Linked DNA regions of Sus scrofa. The protein of the gene in region 3 purifies or fractionates together with the protein of the main gene of each other region. This does not show direct contact. Links are inferred from orthologs where the notes say so. Each region holds a gene or a part of one and is shown on either strand. Other genes may lie near its edges.

Region 1 (3,500 bases), on a different chromosome or scaffold from region 3:
TAATTTGTTCTAAAAATCTACCCAGAGATGTGAGGGAGGAGAGGAATTTTTTAAAGATGTGCAATTTTTAAGAATGTGGGTTTTCAGACTGTATTGACTAGTTTTAGATCTAAACTCTGCTCCTTCCTAGATTTGTGATCTTGGTCAAGTTATTTCCCCTCTCCAAGCCTCAGTTTGGTCATCTGTAAATGTGGGTGATGCTGATGTGAGAATTAAATGTGATTTGAGTGTCCTAGTGCTTTACACAATGCCCAACACAGTTGGCACTTAAAAAATAGGAGTTGACCTATTTACAATATTATAATTTCTACCAAATCTTTTCATGTGAAAGATGATGCAGTGTAGAACATGTTATAGAGGGAAAAAGCTGAGGATGATCCCAAACTGCTGACAGTGGTTATTGGCAGGAGGGGTTGTAAAGTGGGAGGTGAACAAGGAGACCTCTGTAATATATGAATTTCTCAAAAGCATATCTTTTGCAATCAGAAAAAATATATTGAATTTTTAAATTTTCTGTAATATTAAAGGAAAAATTTGAGGGAAAATACTTATCCATACTTTGCCACATATCTGCATATTGTCATATACTTGCAACCATGGCGTCGGAACAGTTTTGTGAGATAACTTGGTCACAGGGGTTTTTCTGTGTTGCTGCATAATTAGCGTAATGTTCTTTGAGAGGATGTACCAAGATTTTGATCATGACCTCCATTGTTGGCTAATCAGGGTTCCACTTTTTTGCTGTTACAGACATTGTGTAGCTTGTCCTGAAGTTCCCTTGTAATTGGGCATAGAACTTATTGCCAATTTGGCTGTTTTAAAGCACATAGAAAATTTTAACTGGCTGTTGTGGGAGTCTGGGAAAGCCAGAGCCCTGAGATCCCTTACTTATCAGCAGAGTTTTACATTGGGCTAGAGCCAGTCCCTCCCCTTGATGGCTAGAAGTGCAGAGGGCCACCAGGGTTCCTCTACCTTGGGATCTAGATGGGAGGAAAAGAGGGTAGGGAGGAGAAGCATGTGCCACACGTAAAGTGACACATTTGACAGATGCAGGAGAAATGTGTTTATTGTTCTGAACTTCATTTATTCATTTCAGGGATTTCAAGGGTTTGGATTTGGAGATGGTGGCTTCCAGATGTCTTTTGGAATTGGGGCATTTCCCTTTGGGATATTTGCCACAGCATTTAACATAAACGATGGGCGACCTCCTCCAGGTAGGACCCTATTCTCTTCGTCATTTTTCTTGAAGGATCCTTGGAATTTGGCAGTATGTAGGTTACTACATGGATAATCGGCCTTTGCAAAATGTGCTAAAATCTTTTCCGATTACTAGTAGACATAGTAATGATGTTGCAACCTTACCAAGGATAAGGCATGTTCAGAGTGCTTTCCATTATAAGCGTGGGATCCTTACCATAAGCCTGTGGGACTTTAGCTCCATTTTATAAACAAAAAATGCTCAGTAATTTTTCCCAAGACATAAAATGAAAAAGCATAGGAGTTCCCTTTGTGACTCAGTGGAAACAAATCTGACTAGGATCCAAGAGGATGCAGGTTCAATCTGTGACCTCGCTCAGTGGATTAAGGATCTCATGTTGCCATGAGCTGTGCTATAGGTCGCAGATGCGGCTCGGATCTGGCATTGCTGTGGCTGTGGTGTAGGCCAGCGGCTACAACTCCGATTTGACCCCTAGGCTGGGAACTGCCATATGCCATGGGTGCGGCCCTAAAAAAAAAAACCGTAAACTGTGTGCCCTGAGTAAAAGCCTAGTCCTAGGCACGAACCCCCCACTTTGACCATGAGGGCTTGGAGGAAGAGGCATCCACAGGGAGTCAAGGTCTCTATTCTCTGGCATCTCCAGCCAGCTTCCCTCAGGACACATGTGGGCCTGGTCCTAAGCCCCAGCTCTTTGGGAACTCTGCCTTGGTCTGCCATCCACTGCTACCTTTCTCCCTCCAGCCAGTGTGAGACTGTCAGTGGCATTTGGTATAGAGCAGGGTGGCGAGGTGGGGGCCCTGGGCTCAGTCATGATCTGAGGCCCGGGCCCAGATTCTGACCCTGGAGCCTTTAGAGATGCTGAGGTTGGTTGAGCTCTGCTTGCACTCACCGGGGCCTCATGTGGGCTGAGCACAGTTGAGGTACAGAGGGACCAGTGCATGGCTCCTGGCCAGGGGTTTATGCTCTGGGGACAGTAACCTCTCCTGAGCGATCCCATTTGTCCCCTGTCCCCACCATGGTGCCTGACACACAGCATTCAGTCGATAAGTCTTTGTTGACTGCTGGCTGCCTGACTCCATCAGAGATCTAAGAGGGGAACAGTAAAACACCAAGAGGTCATGGGACTGCCCTTCCTTACTTCAGAGGTTTCCCTTTGTTCACATAGGGTTTGCTCAGAGGGAAGAGACCCCACAGGGCAGGGTGTGTTCTGCTCTAAAGGAGGGACAGGGCCCCATGGAAGCAGCAGGAATCTGCCTGGTAGCTTGTTTCCATCCAACCTAGCCTAGGGCTCACCCTGGTTTCCCCATGTAAACAGAATTCCGCAGCCAGGCTGGACTCTGGATCAGTTTACCCCCTGCTACAGCTAAAGACAGTTTTCTGTTGTCATGTTTGGACAGTTTGCCCATCTGGGATATAGATTCTTTTAACTCTTTCCCATGGTCAGGACAAGGAGTTCATATTAGCTTTTCTCAAAGCAGAAAGAAGTGGAAATCCAAGTTCTTAGCCCACCTCTGCCCCTAGTTTGTTATGCAAGAGGGAGACAGGTCGTTTTGCCTGTCTGGGGCCTAGTTTTCGCCTCTGGAAAGGGAAGGTGCCCCACTCAGGGCTCCCTGAGACCCCACCTGGCCCAACAATGCCAGAATCTAGAGACTCCATGACTTAGGAGGCAGCATGCTGAGAGGCTAAGAGCACAGCTCTGTGGCATCCCCACTAACTCATGGACCTCCAGGTCTCTGGCAGGTCCCCACATACCTGTGCTTCAGTAAGGACTTACATATACAAAATGGATAATAATACCAAGCAATAATGTATATATACAAAACAGCACATAAAAGATGCCCAACAAACAGTAGCTTTTCTTTTTCCAAGACTTTCCAGTTCTATTTGCACCTGCAGGCCAAACCCTCTTAGAATAAATGGGAGACTTTGTCCTCATTATTGTATGATTCCATATGTTTTCATAATTCTGGTTTTGTTTTGTCTAAGATTATTTGGAGTTTGGAAATATTTTTTTGTTTTGGCCATGCCCATGGTATATGGAACTTCCCGGGCCAGGGATTGACCCCATTCCATAGCAGAGACCCAACCTACTTCAGTGACAACCCCTGATCCTTAACCCACTGTGCCACAAAGGAACTCCTGGAAATCATTTTAGTGAGCAGGATTGTTGTAAAGTGATGAAGGCTGACACTCTCGACCTCTGACTCTGGAGGGCAGTGTGCACAGCTGTAGCATTCTCACAACCTCTTCTCCCTCCTGTCCCTCCAGCTGTCCCTGGAAC
Region 2 (3,500 bases), on a different chromosome or scaffold from region 3:
CAGTATCAAGTATTACCTTTTTGATTGTGATAGAAATGGGTGCTTGAGAGCTGGTTCCTGCAATAACATCATCTCTGTATTAATGGTTGGTTGCATTCAAAGATCATTCAAGTACCAGCAAGGATAAGGAATCATGATTTTAATCAAAAATGAAATCCCTAGCAGTTCCCACCAATGGCGCAGTGGGTTGAGAATCTGACTGCAGGAATTTCTGTCGTGGCTCAGTGGTTAACGAATCTGACTAGGAACCATGAGGTTTTGAGTTCGATCCCTGGCCTTGCACAGTGGGTTAAGGATCCGAAGTTGCCTTGAGCTATGGTGTAGGTCACAGACGTGGCTCTGATCCCACGTTGCTGTGACTCTAGCCTAGGCCGGCAACTACAGATCTGATAGGACCCCTAGCCTGGGAACCTCCATATGCCATGGGTGCGGCCCTCGAAAAAGACAAAAAAAAAAAAAAAAAAAAAGTGGCTCAGGTCTCTCCAGAGGCTCAGATTTGATCCCCAGCCCAGTGCGATGAGTTAAATGATCTGGTGTTGCCTCAGCTGCAACCTATGGCTCGGATTCAGTCCCTGGCCCCGGAACTTCCAAGTGCAGTGAGTGTGGCCAAAAAAGAAAAAAAAGAAAAAAAAAAAAAAAAGAAATCCCTAATTTTTCTCTCTCAAAGTTATAGGTATATATTTCTCTGTCATTTTGCTCCTGAATATTTTCTCATCATTGTTATATCTTTAAATATCTGTTAGCCCAAAGAGAAAACTACTGACTTTATCCCTGTCATGGATTGGAAAATATTTAAATAAGGTGCCCGTTTTACGTTACAGGAGTTCACATTATATTTTGAATTGGGTTTTCTTGTAAGGCAATGATAACTTACTTTCCTCCCCTGTGGTGCCTGTGTCAAAAGAAATGAGCAAAATACCAATTTGGAAGCTTTTCTCATTCTACTGAATAGTAATAAAGTGAAAAAAATCACTGGTACAGAAAAGTGTAACAATTTCTTTTTTTTTTTTTCCCCTGTAATATGCAGGTAACTTTACTCCTAACAGTATTTGGTGAAAATGACCAGTCTCAGGACGCAATATCACTGCATCAGGATGTTAATGATTATAATCGGAGATTCTCAGGGCAGCCCAGATCTGTAAGTAATGATACAGCAGGTGCACAGTTAAAATGTAATGATACTTCTCCTTTGTATACTGAGGTTTTACCGACAGATGTTCTTTGATTCTGAAAAATCTGTATGTCTTGCATAAAGTTTGTACCTTCATCATTGTTGTCCTTACTGAGTTATAGCTTTCCCAAGGACTACAATTTTCTATCTTAAGGGGAAAAAAGGGCATTATAAAACTTTATGAAGTGATGCCAGCAATAGAAAAAAATTGGAAGGAAATGTAAAATTCTTGAAATAGGGTTTGTCATGTGAGAAACTTACAGCTGAGAACTTCTGGAGTTTTACCGTTGTGTTTTATTCTTATTTTACTTACCCTGGCCCCCAGTTTGAAATGTTCCCTTTAGTAACCCTAAGTTTGGGGGGTTTTCTATGTCAGCTATTCAAAAGCATTCCACTTTAAAGAATATATCAATTCTACAATTGCTCCTCTTCCCCCAAAAGGCATTTGATAGATTAAAATTCTGTCACATTATACTGATTCATCCCAGGTTTCTCAAAATTTAACAAAGAATTATAGAAGTGTGTGTCTGACTGAACATTTATTTCGAGACCCGGAGCATACTAAGTGCAAATTCACATGGGGAGCCTAAGCTGTCCTCCAAGCTCTGGCCTCCCATGTTCCCCTGCTCAGCCTCCATCTTGCCAGGATGCTCCTGGCATCTCAGGCTTAACACAGACAACCTGGCCCTGTTCCCAGTCACTCAGCTTAGTGGGTTTTCTTTGTTTTTTGTTTTTTTTGTTTTTTTGCTTTTTAGGACTGCACCCATGGCATATGGAGGTTCCCAGGCTGGGGGTCTAGTTGAAGCTGCAACTGCCAGCCTATACCACAGCCATAGCAATAAGGGATCCAAGCCTCGTATGCAGCCTACATCACAGCTCACAACAACGCTGGATCCCTAACCCATTGAGTGAGGCCAGGGATCGAACCTGCTTCCTCACGTGGATGCTAGTTGGGTTTGTTACCACTGAGCCACGATGGGAACTTACCACTCAGCTCAGTTTTGATGTCCTCCTCTGATCTCTGAAGAAGTCAGAGATCATGTCTTTTCTCTTTTGGGGGGATCCTGACATTTTTATCTCATAAGAATGTCCTGTGTCTATAGCCATCAAACTAGTCCCAGCCACCACCATCTCTTGCTTAGCCAACTTGCAATGGCCTCTTCGCTTGGAGTTTTTTTTCTCTGCACAGCAGCCTGAGTAATATTTTGAAAACACAAGTAAGGCCATGATATTTTTGTATTTTAAAGCTTCCAGTTTTTGGAATAGCGTCTGAACTCTTGGCTGCAGCTTACAAAGACGGTCCGGTCCCCCTCCCCCTCCCCAGGACATGCTCCACGCCTCCCACCTTCATGCCTCATGCGTGCCTTTTGCTCTGCTTGGATTGCATGTCCCTCTGCTCCTCTCCTGGCTTTCTCATCCTGCAGGGCGTTCCTATGTAGACCTTTCTTGGAGAGGCTGCCCTGATCAACCAGGATGGTCTCTGTCATTGCCCTCAGCCTTGTTCACTACCTTTCTCTCAGGAGGCAAGCTTCATGAGGGCAGGGACCCTGGTTAGTCATTACTATAGTCTCAGTGCCTGGGATATAATGGGCCCTTAACATCTGTGGAATTAATGGTTATCATCCTTAAGATAGGATGGATACCACGACTCCCAGCCAAGAATAGATGCTGTTAAAATGCTTCTGTATTAAACAGTTGTGACTGCCTGTGCTCCTTGGTACACACTGTCCATCATCCTGTGATGTCATGGACATTTCAAGGCATACAGGCTCACCTGTTGTGGATGGCAATGTGCAGATCTTTTTAGAAGTTTAAACAACAAGAGAAGTGTGACCCAGTCACTGTTGTCCTCCCTAGCTGTTTGGAGCCTCTTCTCTTTCTCATCCAGCAATTTTCTTACATGTCCACTACTGGTTTCTTAGGATGTTTCTCTGAAAATCAGTGATTCAAAGTCAAGAACTACCACTGAACTTAAAAAAAAAATCATTTTAAGGAGTTCCCATTGGAATTCCTGTCGTGGTGCAGTGCTTAACGAATCCAACTAACTGTGGGGTTTCGGGTTCGATCCCTGGCCTTGCTCAGTGGTTGAGGATCTGGCGTTGCCATGAGCTGTGGTGTAGGTTGCAGACGCGGCTTGGATCCCGCATTGCTGTGGCTGTGGTGTAGGTCAGCGGCTACAGCTCCGATTGGACCCCTAGCCTGGGAATCTCCATGTGCCATGAGAGCGGCCCTAGAAAAAAGGCAAAAAAAAAAAAAATAGGAGTTCCCATTATGACTCAACAGTAACGAACTCGAGTAGCACTCGGGTTCGATCCCTGGCCTCGATCAT
Region 3 (4,203 bases):
CAGGCTGAGGCTCGACATCCCCTACATAGCAACACTCTAAGATCTGGGTGGAAGGAGTGTTCTAATACTAAGTGAACAAATATCCACCGTGTGACAGCTCCTCTGCATAATTTTCACACTTATTTAATAAAACACCTAATTTTTCTTGCAATTGCCTTTAAAAAAATTTTTTTTGTATTTTTTATTCTTTTAGGGCCATACCTGAGGCGTATGGAGGTTCCCAGGCTAGGGATCAAATCGGAGCTGCAGCTGCTGGCCTACGCCACAGCCACAGCCACGCCAGATCAGAGCCGAGTCTGTGACCTACACCACAGCTCATGGAAACGATGGATGCTTAACCCACTGAGTGAGGCCAGGGATCAAACCTGCATCTTGATGGATACTAGCCAGATTCTTTTTTTTGTCTTTTTGCCCTTTCTAGGGCCACTCCTGTGGCATATGGAGGTTCCCAGGCTAGGGGTCGATTAGTCAGATTCTTAACCCGCTGAGCTACAACAGGAACTCCACAATTGCCTTTTGAGGTATGTGTTGGGAACAGAGAAATTTAGGTTCAAAGACATTCAGTAAAGCACCCAAGGTCACATAGTTGATAAGCACAGGATAAGGGATCAGCATTTGTGCCACGTTCCAAAGTCTATGCCTCTTGCACAGTCTTTCGGGGGAAAGGGGAGGAGGGGACCTGGTAAATAAGCAGCCCAAGCCACCGTGGCCAGCCTGGTGGGGAAGCCCATGGATACTGGGCGCTGGGCTGAAGAGTCAATTTGGAGGATCCAGGATGACTTCTGGGGTCCACTCTGACTTAAAGTTCTTGTTGTGGCTCAGCGGATTAAAAACCCGACACAGTGTGAGGATGTGGCATGGATCCCTGGCCTCACTCAGAGGGTTAAGGATCCAGCGTTGTGAGCTGTGGTGTAGGTCGCAGATGCAGCTCGTATCTGGTGTTGCTAAGGCTGTGGTGCAGCCCGGCAGGTGCAGCTCCTATTCGACCCCTAGCCTGGGAACACCCATGTGCCGCAGGTGCGGCTGTAAAAAGAAAGAAGAGTAGGCCAAGGTAGGATCCACTCGAGCTTCCCCGATGCTGCTTCTGGAAACAGTGGTGCTCTAACAAGCTCCAGCTAACGCTGGTTTCTGGAGTAACAGATGCCCCAACTGCCCCGGGCAGGGGGCTGTCCCTGCTGTCGCCCAAACCTCTACGGGAGAGCACACCCCCCAAACCCAACCCCGCCGTCCCCTCAGCAATTTGCGGGCACTGGGACGAGACAGCCGAGTCCTGCCCGTGGATCCGCAGCGCGGAAGGCGGGGACTGCGCACCGCGCTGGACTACAAGTCCCACAATACTTCGCACGGCGGGGAAGCGGAGGGTGCCTCCAGGTGTCTGCGACCTCGCCACCTCCCGCCCGGAAGTGCCCGAGGGTCCGCTATGGAGCTGGCGGAGCCGGGCGGTGAGTCCTGCGTTCTGACCGCGCCCACCCCGCCGCCCCCGCCAGCTGGCCCCCGCTCGCCCCGCCCCGGGATCGGTCTGGCACTCCCGCCGCTGGGGTTGGGGGGCGGGCGGGAAGATGGGAGGGGTGATGGAGGATGGGGGTGGGGAGGCTAAAGTCTCGGATTCCGGCGGTATCTGGGGTCCTGCTGCGGGCTAGGTTTGGAGAGGCGTCTAAGAGGAGGCGCGGAACTGGGCCGACTCGGGGTGGAGTTTGAGTGGACCGAGGGGGGCCGAGTTGCGGTGGGGAGCAGCGACCCTCGGAGATTCCAGTTTGCCAAAGGGCTCGTTTCGACGTGGGGAAGCTTTAGGAAACTGTATCGTGTTACGGGTGGGAGGTTTGGGTAAATAGTAAAGGGGCGGGGGTGTGCTGTGTGTGTGTGTGTGTGTGTGTGTGTGTGTGTGTGTGTGTGTGTGTGTTCGTGGAGGAAAGCCTTTTGTGTGTCTGTGTGTGTCTGGAGACCTTTTTCTTCCCCCTTGGAGAAACTTTAGTGATGGAGGAATAGATAAACTTTGGGATGAATTAGATGGAAAGAATAGGTAAGCTTTGGGGTGAAGTTTGATGGGGGTTGAATTTAGGGGAGAGGTTGCTTAGAAGGTCAAGGCCTGACCTCTGAGTAGGATGTGGGTGAATTGGAGAGCTGGTTAAAGACCTAGAACTTAGGTTACAAAAAATTAGGACTTGGGGTTTGGTGATGGGAAGGGGCATGTGACCCAAGTCTGGGGCAAGCAAGAGGGAGAGCAGTCTGTGTCCCAGGGTGGGGTGTGGCTAAGTGGGCAAAGGAATTGGGACTGTGGGAGAGTTGTAGTGGGGTGGGGTCGGACGCCCCTGAAGTTCAGAGGGCTCTTGGAGGCTGAGCCAGCCCCTCATGGGTTCTTTGTGCCTCTCCAGCTCGGTAGCCCAGCGGGCAAGGCAGGTGCCATGGCCCTGATTGAAGGGGTGGGTGATGAGGTGACCATCCTTTTCGCGGTGCTTGCCTGCCTTCTGGTGCTGGCTCTCGCCTGGGTCTCAACACACACTGCCGAGGGCGTGGATCCACTGTCCCAGCCATCAGGGACCCCACCATCAACACAGCCCAGCGAAGCCATGGCGGTCACTGACAGCATCAGAGGGGAGGCCCCAGGAGCTGAGACCCCGAGCCTGAGACACAGAGGTCAGGCTGCACAGCCAGAGTCTGGCATGGGGCTCCCGGCCACACCGCCACCCCAGGACTCCCCCCAAGAGCCCCTCGTGCTACGGCTGAAATTCCTCAACGATTCAGAGCAGGTGGCCAGGGCCTGGCCCCACGACACCATTGGCTCCCTGAAAAGGTAAGCTGGGAAGAGGACGGGGTTGAAGTGGTAATGAGTCGGGTGGGAATGGTCACAGCGTGGAAGGGCCACCAGAGATGCTGATGGGAACTGAGGTCCCCAAGCCACTCACACGGTATTGTTCCTCTGAAGCAGGAGAGGCCCCTGCGGAGGGAGCCCTGGGTGGTAGGTGGAGGAGAGAAGTGAGAGAGTTGTTCTGGGCGAGGGGCCAGGATTGCCTGAGACCTGCTCTATTACCCAGGTCCCTCTCTCCTCAGGACCCAGTTTCCCGGACGGGAGCAGCACGTGCGACTCATCTACCAAGGGCAGCTGCTAGGAGACGACACCCAGACCCTGGGCAGCCTTCACCTCCCTCCCAACTGCGTTCTCCACTGCCACGTGTCCACCCGGGTGGGTCCCCCACACCCACCCTGCCCACCGGGGTCAGAGCCAGGCCCCTCCGGGCTGGAGGTAGGCAGCCTCCTGCTGCCCCTGCTCCTGCTGCTGCTGCTGCTGCTCTGGTACTGCCAGATCCAGTACCGGCCCTTCTTTCCCCTGACAGCCACCCTGGGTCTGGCCGGCTTCACCCTACTCCTCAGTCTCCTGGCCTTTGCCATGTACCGCCCGTAGTGCCTCCACGGGCTCTTGGCAGTGTCGCTGGCCCCTCCGGACCTTGCTCCCCACGACACGGTGGGAGCTGCTGTCTGCCCCGGCCGGCCTCTCCCACTTGCCTCTTCCCACTACCCTGGAGCCCAGCCCTGCGCCGCAGAGCGCTCCGGGGGCCGGCGGAGGCCCCTCCCTGTGACCTTCATGGCTCTGGGCCACCTTCTGGGGCTGCTGGCCCTCAGCCCCCACGGACAGTCAGCTCCTCCGGGTCAGACAGCTGCTGTCGCTGCCTCGGCCCTGGGCAGAGCCCGGCCACGCCCCTAGGCCCTTCTTAGTGTTCTGCCTGAAAACCCAGCCACCTCTAGTCCCTGAGAGCATCTTGAGCTGATTTAGGGACCCAAGGACGGGAGCGTGGGTGGGAAGGAGGGGGTTCTCTGGAACATGTGCAGATTAAATAACTGTGAAGTTTTCACTCTTGGTGTGTGCCTGCCTGTGTGGGCCCGTGGGGCAGGGAGCTCCTGCCCACTGGGAGAAAGACGGTAGAACGCGGGATCCGCAGCCGGACGGTCCTAGGTTCCGTGCTGGGCGCTCCCACTTACCAGGCACTTCGCCCTGCCCAACCTGCCCAGGCTGGCTGCCGACTTCCCCTCTGCTTTTCGCTGCATCCTCGGCTCCTCGCCCTTGGGCTCCGCCCCGCTCCTAGTCCCGCCCCCGCCCCGGAGCCGCGCGCGCAGCTTCCCAGAAGCAGGGGGCGGGGCGCGCGGCACCCTGGCGCGCGGGGCCTGACGGGAGCCACGTCTCCGCTGGCGGAGGACCGTGCCGCGATT

Evidence for each region. The genes of interacting proteins can lie anywhere in the genome.
Region 1: the proteins of TMUB1 (region 3) and RNF185 purify together in Homo sapiens (affinity purification with mass spectrometry; 5 studies listed by BioGRID and IntAct, with this or other methods). This does not show direct contact. The link is inferred for Sus scrofa from reciprocal best matches to the Homo sapiens genes TMUB1 and RNF185.
Region 2: the proteins of TMUB1 (region 3) and RNF170 purify together in Homo sapiens (affinity purification with mass spectrometry; 3 studies listed by BioGRID and IntAct, with this or other methods). This does not show direct contact. The link is inferred for Sus scrofa from reciprocal best matches to the Homo sapiens genes TMUB1 and RNF170.

What each region holds. Positions count from the first base shown.
Region 1 is NC_010456.5:47,973,884-47,977,383, forward strand, and holds part of RNF185 (E3 ubiquitin-protein ligase RNF185), read left to right. Parts: intron 1-1,096; coding exon 1,097-1,214; intron 1,215-3,487; coding exon 3,488-3,500. UniProt on the Homo sapiens protein: E3 ubiquitin-protein ligase that regulates selective mitochondrial autophagy by mediating 'Lys-63'-linked polyubiquitination of BNIP1.
Region 2 is NC_010459.5:11,783,421-11,786,920, reverse strand, and holds part of RNF170 (E3 ubiquitin-protein ligase RNF170), read left to right. Parts: intron 1-1,027; coding exon 1,028-1,138; intron 1,139-3,500. UniProt on the Homo sapiens protein: E3 ubiquitin-protein ligase that plays an essential role in stimulus-induced inositol 1,4,5-trisphosphate receptor type 1 (ITPR1) ubiquitination and degradation via the endoplasmic reticulum-associated degradation (ERAD) pathway.
Region 3 is NC_010460.4:6,141,048-6,145,250, forward strand, and holds TMUB1 (transmembrane and ubiquitin-like domain-containing protein 1), read left to right. Parts: upstream 1-1,403; 5' UTR 1,404-1,442; intron 1,443-2,372; 5' UTR 2,373-2,402; coding exon 2,403-2,791; intron 2,792-3,048; coding exon 3,049-3,400; 3' UTR 3,401-3,848; downstream 3,849-4,203. UniProt on the Homo sapiens protein: Involved in sterol-regulated ubiquitination and degradation of HMG-CoA reductase HMGCR. Involved in positive regulation of AMPA-selective glutamate receptor GRIA2 recycling to the cell surface.